Linked DNA regions of Xenopus tropicalis. The protein of the gene in region 1 interacts with the protein of each later gene in a biochemical or structural test. Links are inferred from orthologs where the notes say so. Each region holds a gene or a part of one and is shown on either strand. Other genes may lie near its edges.

Region 1 (3,657 bases):
TACTTTGATCTGAATTTAAACCACTCTTCAACAATTCAACGCTGTGACCCCTGGAATTTTCCCTTTCTACTATATATAAAAATAATAATGCTTTGGGATTATGTAAGAATTACTTATGTGAATTAATTTAAATGTATTTTTAATATAGGTAATGTTCACAGAAGAAGATGTGAAGTTTTACCTAGCGGAACTGGCTTTGGGTCTTGATCATTTGCACAGCTTAGGGATCATCTACCGTGACCTAAAACCTGAAAAGTATGTTGGTGAGCCAGGCATTAAGGCAGTTTGACTGCACTGCACTGTTGGTTTGACTGCATGTGTGTTGAGATAGTGTAGGTCAGTGCTGTCCAATTTATGTGGTATTGTACATGGTGAAGGGCCAATAATGGAAGCCAATTTAGGCCACCCCCTTTTTTAAACTGCGTCCACTTTAAGCCACACCCATGTAATCACAAGTGCTTTTAAGACCATACCCAAATTAATGGTGGCAGTGCAGGAAAAACCAAAATGATTGGTGCTTACTGTAGGGAAATCACCCTTTTTTCATATGTAAAAGAAGTTTATGCACCGAATCCAGGATTCAATTCAGTATTTTTTGGCAGGTTTCTGTTTCGGGCCGAATCCATGGTCCTGGCCGAACTGAATCCTAATTCACATAAATTAGCATATGATAATTAGCACTTGAAAGTACAAATGTTAGGGGGAAAATATTTTCCCGCTGCGCACATGCACCCCGAGTTTTACCACTTTCAGATCCTAATTAGCATATGCTAATTAGGATTTGGCTTGGGGTTCGGCTGAATCCAAAAAACTGGGTTCGGTGCATCCCTAATATTAAGACATATGCTTCCCCTGTGGATAACATAGCAACCCCCAGCACATAATTACACACCATAGGTTCCATATAATGACTAGTTCCAAATACTCCCAGAACAAACCTCTGCCAGGTTTACCTCCCACAGGCAGCATAGGGCAGGCAGTGTATGGCACACACAGAGGCAGTATAGGGCAGGCAGAGAATGGCACACACAGGCAGCATAGGGCAGGCAGAGTATGGCACACACAGGCAGCATAGGGCAAGCAGAGTATGGCACACACAGGCAGCATAGGGCAAGCAGTGTATGGAACACACACAGGCAGTATAGGGCAGGCAGAGTATGGCGCACACAGGCAGCATAGGTCAGGCAGAGTATGGCACACACAGGCAGCATAGGGGTAGCAGAGTATGGCACACACAGGCAGCATAGGGGTAGCAGAGTATGGCACACACAGAGGCAGTATAGGGCAGGCAGTGTATGGCACACACAGAGGCAGTATAGGGCAGGCAGAGAATGGCACACACAGGCAGCATAGGGCAGGCAGAGTATGGCACACACAGGCAGCATAGGTCAGGCAGAATATGGCACACATAGGCAGCATAGGCCAGGCAGAGAACATAAAGTGACACAATCTGTTACTGCTCCTACAGTCTGTCTGAGATGTGAACAGTGTGAGTGCTTACAGTTTGAGCCTTTGTTGTGAATAATGCAGCGACTAAAAGGTGTGAACAATACATGGAGATGACAGGTGTGAATAACACAGGGGTTTAAAGCCTGAATCTGAGGTGTGAACAATGGAAGGGGCCAGTTAATCACAGTAATGATACCATTTAAAGCAGCCACAACAGTCAGGCAGGTGGGGGGGCCACAGAGGGGGGCTCCTGGCCAGCAGTTGGACAGCACTGGCATAGGTCAATCTTACCTTTAAGCATGAAATGGAACACTTTTCTTAGTATAATTAGCATCCTTACATGTGTGCAATAAAAAAAAGTTCCATTTCACTGATTAAAGGTAAGATTGACTTATGCTATCTCAACATACAAAATGAAATTAAATATTGTTACTGTTTCCAAAATTATAGGGGTTACTGCTACTGGGCGCTCTTAGTGCCTTTTTTTGACATATGGGGGTTTGGTGTATAGGTACTTTGCTCAGGCATATTGTTTATTTTTTCTAAATAAAAGCAACAATAAAAGTTTATCTGCACTTATTCTTAAAGGAGAAGGAAAGTCTAAGTCACTTGGGGCTGCCAAAATGTTAGGCACCCCCAAGTGACTTAAATCGCTTACCTTGTACCCCGGGCTGGTGCCCCTGTTCGGAGAAAACCGCACCAGCCCGGGGTAGCTGTAGCGAGTGCTTCCTCCTTCCGTGTTTCTTCTGCCGGCAAAATCCCTGGGCCAGAGCATGCGCATTAGAGTGAAAAGCCAACTTTTTTGTTAAAGTTCGGCTTTCGCTCTACTGAGCAAGCACAAACGCGGAACTGCTCACTACAGGTACCCTGGGCTGGTGTGGTTTTCTCCGAACAGGGGCACCAGCCAGGGGTACAAGGTAAGCGCTTAAAGTCACTTGGGGGTACCTAACATTTTGGCACCGCCTTTCCTTCTCCTTTAGAACCTCATAAAGAACACAGGTGTGGTTTAACATCAAATGATGGCTGTTAACTAAAAAAAAGATACATACCACAGTTGTTTACTTTATATCATTGTGAGTGGCACGTGGTGGTAACATCTGCCTTTCTCTGTGCTGTGCAGCATTCTCTTGGATGAAGAGGGCCATATAAAGCTTACTGGTATGTTTCTGTGAACTGTTTGTGTTCCCATCCCTGTGTATCCACTCCGATTCCTGGTGTTGTCTGATACCAATCTCTTGTGTTGGGACCATTCTTCTATACATGCAGGCTTTTGACAAACTTGGAACAAGCTTCATAATTTTCTCTGTCTCTTTTTTTGTGTGTGCACCTGTGTAACATCTAATTGGATACTTGGCATTACCCTGATCAGATTTTGGGCTAAGTAAAGAGGCAATAGACCATGAAAAAAAGGCTTATTCTTTTTGTGGGACTGTGGAGTATATGGCTCCTGAAGTAGTGAATCGACAAGGACATTCGCACAGTGCAGACTGGTGGTCTTATGGCGTGCTTATGGTAAGCTGTTTGCTTATATCTAGATAAACACAAAACAATTTATTTTACCTTTTCTCCTATTGGTATCTGTTCTTTCAGTCTCTTTCAGATTACTGGTTCCATTTTTGCCATTTCAATAATTTCTGAATGTTTCCATATTCACAGTTTGAGATGCTGACAGGATCACTGCCATTCCAGGGCAAAGACCGTAAGGAAACCATGACTCTAATCCTGAAGTAAGTAGAAAATTGGAAAATCTAGGGTGTCCGTAGAAAACTATAGCTGAAATACAAGTTACTATATGAAAGAATGGTTTGTAATGTTCACAGTTGTATATAAGTTTCACTGTCAGCAAACTAAAAAGTAGCTTAAAATTTGGTACAGAATGAGCAATTCTTATCCTCAAAAATCAAATGTGAGCTGCTGCTAGAACAACAAAGTTAATGCTTAGTAAAAGCAAGTTAAGAGTTATTTCTTTATGAAAATGTTATAGCCATTTTTATAACAGCACAAATGAAGAAAAATTCACATCAGGGAAGGAATACCACCAGAATTCTAGCATAATGTTGGTACTCGCAAAGTAGCATATTCTGGAACTTACAAACTGAGGGCACTTCAGTATTCTTTTGCCCCTGTAGCTGCATTTATTTGTTGACATAACTCATCAGTTTTAAGTGCAGGAGAGGGCAAGCTGTCTTATAGCGGTCAAGGGACATA
Region 2 (3,657 bases), on another chromosome or scaffold:
ATTGTATTAGATCTCTGTCTATCTGACTTTATATTCAGTTCTGCTGTTTATCCCTGTGCTGCCCCCCCCCACATTATTCTCACTATTATTGTGTCTTGTTATTCACCCCCTCGTCCCTCCCTCCCACCCTGCCTGCCTCCCCCCCTATGCACGGCTCTTTATCGCCCATTCTTCTACACTTAATCTTCACTCTTTGCCTCTGCCCATCACTTCTCTGCTTCACCTTTACTTCTTCCCATGCTCACTCACTTACCTACTGCCCAACACTCCTTCTGCCTGACACACCCACTGCCCAACACTCCTTCTGCCTGACACACCCACTGCCCAACACTCCTTCTGCCTGACACACCCACTGCCCAACACTCCTTCTGCCTGACACACCCACTGCCCAACACTCCTTCTGCCTGACACACCCACTGCCCAACACTCCTTCTGCCTGACACACCCACTGCCCAACACTCCTTCCCCCTGACACACCCACTGCCCAACACTCCTTCTGCCTGACACACCCACTGCCCAACACTCCTTCTGCCTGACACACCCACTGCCCAACACTCCTTCTGCCTGACACACCCACTGCCCAACACTCCTTCTGCCTGACACACCCACTGCCCAACACTCCTTCCCCCTGACACACCCACTGCCCAACACTCCTTCTGCCTGACACACCCACTGCCCAACACTCCTTCCCCCTGACACACCCACTGCCAAACACTCCTTCTGCCTGACACACCCACTGCCCAACACTCCGTCTGCCTGACACACTCACTGCCCAACACTCCTTCTGCTGGACACACCCATTTCCTGACACACCCACTGCCCCGCACACCCACTGTCTAACACACCCACTGTCTAACTTACCCACTGCCTGCCCCACCCACAGCCTGGCACACCCACTGCCTGACATGCCCATGGCTTGACACACCCACTGCCTGACACACCTACAGCCTGGCACACCCACTGGCTGACATGCCCATGGCTTGACACACCCACTGCCTGGCACGCCCACTGACTGCCATGCCCACTGACTGCCACGCCCATGGCTTGACACACCCACAGCCTGACACACCCACTGACTGTATTCATTGTCTCATTCACATGTTCACTCCCTATTTATGTTCATTAATTCCCTTACATAATTCAGTACTCAGACTTTCACTCTTCATTCAGAAACTCATTCACTGCATGTTTTCCTTTTCTCTCTTCACGTTTCCTCCTCACTTTCTGTCTTGTTGTTATTTACTCTCTTCCCTTAGTCTCCTAATCACTTCGATGGGTCACATAAAGCTTACAGATTTCGGCCTGTCCAAGATGGGGCTTATGAACCTCACCACTAATCTCTATGAAGGACACATCGAGAGCGAAGCAAGGGAATTCCTGGACAAGCAGGTATGGGCTTCATTCCTCCACCTCATCCTCTGTGTCACTGTATCATATTCACTGCCTGTCTGTGTCACTGTATCACCCTGCAGTGGGAGGGACAGACTCCATGTCCCATAGCCCCCTCCTGTCTGTGTCACTGTATCACCCTGCAGTGGGAGGGACAGACTCCGTGTCCCATAGCTCCCTCCTGTCTGTGTCACTGTATCACCCTGCAGTGGGAGGGACAGACTCCATGTCCCATAGCCCCCTCCTGCCTGTGTCACTGTATCACCCTGCAGTGGGAGGGGCAGACTCCGTGTCCCATAGCCCCCTCCTGTCTGTGTCACTGTATCACCCTGCAGTGGGAGGGACAGACTCCGTGTCCCATAGCTCCCTCCTGTCTGTGTCACTGTATCACCCTGCAGTGGGAGGGACAGACTCCATGTCCCATAGCCCCCTCCTGCCTGTGTCACTGTATCACCCTGCAGTGGGAGGGACAGACTCCGTGTCCCATAGCTCCCTCCTGTCTGTGTCACTGTATCACCCTGCAGTGGGAGGGACAGACTCCGTGTCCCATAGCTCCCTCCTGTCTGTGTCACTGTGTAGCACACCCTTGGGTGAGACTAATATATATGGGTAACTCCAGCACACTCAGTGACACCCCAATGACTGACCACAATAATGGTAAACAATAAGATCCCTTTTCTTTATTAAGCGTAACAAACAATCAGCAGGGATCTGACTATGATTTAAAATATTAAAGCAAGATATATATGTATAACAATATACCAAAGAACAATAACACAATTTAAATTGCCAATATAAAGTATGCAGAAAATATATATGCTAAATGTTGTAACTTAATTCCCCTGTCACAGTCCCAGATGATTTGTGCACGTTGGGGCCCTTATTGAGTTTAGCTTATTGGCCAATAGCACTGTTCCTTTCATTTGCCGGTTAGCAGTATAACTCTATAAACTTAGCGAAGAAACACTTTCCTTCCAGGTGAGAAATGACTTGGCAGAGTGTATAGTTCAGCAACAGATGGATTAGCTCCTATTGGTTAATAATACACAGTTCCCCAATAGTGTGTGGTGTTGCAGGTTACTCACAGTCTGTGCTCCAAATCACTGTATCCCCTTTAGTAACAGATTGGACACAGGCAGCTCTGCCCTCCAGCATCTGTAATCCCCTGGGCCTCTCTGCAGCCTGTCAGCCTGGGACTCTCCTACCAACAGTAGGCAGCTCCCCCCTGCTCCCTTTCTGGCTAGCACTGATAGCTCTTTTACAGGTGCAAGTCCAGAGCTGGGATAGCAGGGTCAGCTTCTCCCTGTAGCAGCTTCTCCTGGGCCAGGATCCCTGCAGGTGTCTCTCTCCCCTCTGGCAGCTCTCACACTCAGAGCAGGCACAGCAGGTAGGCAACAGGCAGCAGTTTTATCCCTGGCACCCACTTCTCTCCACTTTTTTATAATCCAGGAGGGTGGTCCTCAAAACATTTTGCGCCTTTCCTTATCATTGGTGGATTCAAAGCCCCAGCAAGGTCCTCAGGTCTGCGGCATGCTGGGATATGTAGTCCTGTAAACTGTCTATGCAATTGTTCATGTTTCTTGCTTTAGTTAGGGGTGTTACACTCTCCCCCCACCACAAATCTTGAGTCCTCTCAAGAGCAACCTTATAGAATATAATTGGCAATGCATAATATATGACAGATACATACATGTGTAGGTAACATAACTCAAATTTGTATATCTACAAAGTAAGGACATTGAAAATACACCACAGATCTACACTGGGGTGGGGTGTCACCTGAAGAGTGTGCACTAGAGGGAACATGGGCGTGGGCACTTCTATGGGCCGCAATCACAGTCTTTTCTGTACTATTGCCCAGAGAATCATAAGTAAGTCTTTGAGGTGGTCTGATTACTCTGGGTTCTCTAGTGTTAAACACTCTTGACTCTATATGTTCTTCATCACAGTCAACTCTGGAGCCAACATCTGTATCAGTCTCTAGTGTAGGCGATAGGTTGTCTGAAAGTTCATGTACAGATTCATTTCCATTTGTGATAGATGTGTCAGGAGCAACCTCTGAAACCTGGAAAGGCACATCATCCAGATTTTCTGGAATAAACTCTGGAGCATTTACATTTAATTCTGTAGTGGCTTCCTCACTATTAAAAGCAGGTCTCTCTGAGTCTGTTTCACCGAAGAAATAGTTTAAGCCCCATTCCTCCTCTTCAGATTCATCTTCACTTGAATAGATGTGACAGTCAGCCCTGGGTACAGTAGGGGTTTGAC
Region 3 (3,657 bases), on another chromosome or scaffold:
GTAAATAGGTCTATGTTATACCTGAAAATGTGATAAATATATATATATTTAATATCAGCAAAAGTGGTATCTAAACACCTCTAAAAGTCATTAAAGAGAAATCGTAACAGTATAAGACAAACAAGGATAAATATGTGTGTAAGATAATAACATACTGAAAAATTACTAAATGAATAGTTGAACATGACATTTTTATATATTTAAAGAGTACCTCTTCAGGGAAAAGTCTAAAAATGTTTAATTTGATGTTTAATAATTCATACCTGTTGCACTTCATTAGCTTTGTATTGCATTGCTTCATTATGTTGTTCTCCCAATTTTTGGTTGTTTAACTCCTCCAAGAATTCATTCCTTTCATCATCCATCCACCCTTCATCCAACTGTAAAGAATACATTAGTACATTATATTATATTATTAGTCATACGTAGTGCTGGTGTAAACCCTAATAGCAATGGCCGGCCAGATCCTTTCATCGTAATGATTCTTTTGAAAAACAGGCCTGTTATACTTTTCTTTACACCAGAAAATGAATGATAATATATGCAGCACTGGTGCTTTTCATCCAGCTCTTAAACAAATGGGCTTACTTGTCTCTAATCTCTTACATCTCTCCTCATCATTTTCTTCAAACCAAATACGTTCATGTAAACAGCTATGTGCCCAGTACACACAAAGCCCAAGCAAAACACATGTTGGGACTGTGAATATAGCCAGGTGCTGAGCAGTCTTCTTATAGGAATCATTATTTAGATATTTGGTAGATTATAAATTTCATTTGGTACTTTGATTACCCTTGGGAATTTAGGAACAGATCAGGCGAATTGATTTGTTGAAACATATTTTTTTCATTTTTTAAGCATTTTCAGTGGCTGCATTGAGCACTAAAACAGTCTCTTTATTTCTATTTTGTAATAAATGCAGCCCTTGCCAGCATGTTACTATGCACTATTGGTACCAAGATAAGAAACATCAGAACAGTTGGGACATGATAAACTGGGATAAAATTAGCTTAAAGCATAGACTGTGAAACTGAATGAAAAGCTCTTCTCACTCTGTGATGAAACAGAGCTGGATGTACCAAAAGAAGTTATTATTCTCCATTTCCTTTCCTTTAGGGATCATTTTAGCATTAATCACAAAGAAACTGTGGAGAAATGGCTTTTCTGTGCAGCTAATTAAAGGCAGTAAAGATTGCTCTGTCATAGTGAAAAATCCCTTGTTCAGAAATATCTGTGCTCATCGAATCTGGCAGTTTACTTGACTGCTCTAAGAAGTCTGTTTAATGATTTCTGGAAAGTCACCAAGATAAGAAGGTAAAAGCTGAAAAATGACCTTAGAATATACTGTATCCTCTTATCACTTTACTACTGAGATCATAGCAGAAAAAAATGTCATATTGAAAAAAAAAAAAAAAAATCAACCATGCCAGCTGTCAAAAGGCACTAGACATTTTACAGAAAGCATCACATCCCTTGGCATGAGAAGTTCTTCCTACACATGTGGGGCAGCTCATTTATTACCTTTTTCTGAAAAAAAGGTGAATTTTGAAACCTTTTTGAAAAAAAACAGCTGGGATTTAAAATGAAATCAAAGATTTGCCATTCATATCTTTACATAAAAAATGAAAACATGGTTGGAAAAATTGGGTGAAGTAAAAATGATCCTTGTGCAAAAACAGAGGCTTAGTTAAGTAAAGCTATATCTACATAAAACAAGTATGACATTGTGACTGATCTAGTTCACCTCTACATTACACTTGCTCCTTGTTTGGTACCCAGCAAGAAAAAGATAATAGCAGGCTAAAGTCCTGGGTTCATTTTATATAGATTTATAAAATAATAGTGCAGCAGAGAGGATGTGCAGCTTAGGCATAGTTGTGACATGATTAATGAATAGAAGATTAATGGAAACAATATGTTTTTTTTTTTGTTGTCTTCTATTTACCAGTCTATGGACCGTACAAATTACAATTACTCAAAAGGGTATGTGTGTTCAACACTTTCCTAGCACAGCTTGTAATAAAATATGTTCTGTTTGTCGTGGCATATCAAACCATGCTGCTGTCGATCCAGTAGGAGAGGGAATCTGCCACCAGACTTGCTGCAGTTGTCTGGCAATGTTGCTGTCTATGTGAGATTTGAACTGAAATCGATATAAATGCCAAGGCAGCATTGTGAGTTATGTCTGTATATCTTCCCAAATGAAACAGCCACCTCACCATCTAGTAGCTATATACTAATTATACACAAAAATAAGCATATATTATTCTTTATTTATATATATATATATGCCGACATATTCTCCAGCAATTCTCCTAAAATAATACACACTCACTGCCCAGTGAAGCTTATAATCTAAAGTTCCTATCAAATTCAAACCAAACTGTCAATTGTAACAGGAGTCAATAAATCTACATATATGTTTTTGGAGAAAACTCACACAGACTCCTTGGCTGGAATAAACCCAGGACCCAAGCATTGCAAGGCAGCAATGCTAATTACTGGGCCACCTTGCTTCTATATTATACAACAAAGTAAATGATTCCATATCAGAATAGTGCAATGTAATGATGGAATTATTAACTTTTATTAGCAACTGGAATGTAGAAAGCCTTAGGTTTGCTAACATCACAGAACATAGAACATGAGAGTCACATATATACAGCAGCACACTACTTTTTATATTGATTTATTCAGTACGCTGCCACCAAGTGGCAAAATGTCACTAAGAGGTAAAGCACCTCCTTTATGGATTGGGCAGGCTGCAAAGAGCAAAAATGGGTGGAAATCACCATGGGTTTGGCACTTGGCACTGAGCAATGCCATTGATATGCTTTCTGTATGACTCCAGCTCTGCCTGCATTCCGGAGCACTGTAGGGCACAACCCTTCCCACCTTCTACCCAGCCCTTGGGGGTCATTTACATTTGCACTGTGCTACAGTGCTTGTTGAATAAGAACTAAGGGTTGCTATTTTGAGCCCCAGTCTTCTAGGACTTTTTTCAGGATACACAATAGGAATTGCTATTCTAATATTTTGTAGCCACATCTGTACTTGATGAAAGCCATCTAATACAAAAACAACAACATTGTACAGCATAGCATAGACAATACCATTGTCTCTATATTTTAGGTCATGATGACAAAGAATATTCTTGTTCACTAACCTGTAACTCTGGTCTCGCAACCAGCAGAGTGATTCTCTTGCATTCATCACTGGAGAGTAATGCCACAGCCTCCTCTCTGTTCTGGATATCTTGGCCATTAATCTGAAAAAATAAATGAAATGGGCACATTAGTTGCCATATCCGCAAGGCAAAACACAATAAAGGGCAAATATCAACTCATTTGTGCTAAATGTATGGACAGTGAAAGTTACACAGAGGACTCATCCTCAGCCCTCGGTTGTAAATGCCTTCGCTCAATTATGCGCTTACTATAAGAACAGTATTGATCTGTGAAGGATGGTGAACATCAGAGGAAGCAGTTATGTTCATAAACGTCTAACCTGCGCCCCAGTAACATACATCTAGCAACACAATTAACTAGCTTCTGACAGGTGACGTTCATCTTTCTCTGTTCAGAGTAATGGAACTGTCACTTTGAGATAATAGTGCTGGTGGAAGGAAGAATGGCAGCGGTATAGCTAAAATCAGTT

Evidence for each region. The genes of interacting proteins can lie anywhere in the genome.
Region 2: the proteins of rps6ka1 (region 1) and mast1 interact in a test that uses a peptide from one of them, tested with the Homo sapiens proteins (2 studies listed by BioGRID and IntAct, with this or other methods). The link is inferred for Xenopus tropicalis from reciprocal best matches to the Homo sapiens genes RPS6KA1 and MAST1.
Region 3: the proteins of rps6ka1 (region 1) and pdzrn4 interact in a test that uses a peptide from one of them, tested with the Homo sapiens proteins (2 studies listed by BioGRID and IntAct, with this or other methods). The link is inferred for Xenopus tropicalis from reciprocal best matches to the Homo sapiens genes RPS6KA1 and PDZRN4.

What each region holds. Positions count from the first base shown.
Region 1 is NC_030678.2:77,648,932-77,652,588, forward strand, and holds part of rps6ka1 (ribosomal protein S6 kinase alpha-1), read left to right. Parts: intron 1-148; coding exon 149-255; intron 256-2,569; coding exon 2,570-2,607; intron 2,608-2,818; coding exon 2,819-2,961; intron 2,962-3,105; coding exon 3,106-3,176; intron 3,177-3,657. UniProt on the Homo sapiens protein: Serine/threonine-protein kinase that acts downstream of ERK (MAPK1/ERK2 and MAPK3/ERK1) signaling and mediates mitogenic and stress-induced activation of the transcription factors CREB1, ETV1/ER81 and NR4A1/NUR77, regulates translation through RPS6 and EIF4B phosphorylation, and mediates cellular proliferation, survival, and differentiation by modulating mTOR signaling and repressing pro-apoptotic function of BAD and DAPK1.
Region 2 is NC_030679.2:140,257,541-140,261,197, reverse strand, and holds part of mast1 (microtubule-associated serine/threonine-protein kinase 1), read left to right. Parts: intron 1-1,256; coding exon 1,257-1,389; intron 1,390-3,657. UniProt on the Homo sapiens protein: Microtubule-associated protein essential for correct brain development. Appears to link the dystrophin/utrophin network with microtubule filaments via the syntrophins. Phosphorylation of DMD or UTRN may modulate their affinities for associated proteins.
Region 3 is NC_030679.2:65,054,874-65,058,530, forward strand, and holds part of pdzrn4 (PDZ domain-containing RING finger protein 4), read right to left. Parts: intron 3,269-3,657; coding exon 3,167-3,268; intron 381-3,166; coding exon 264-380; intron 1-263.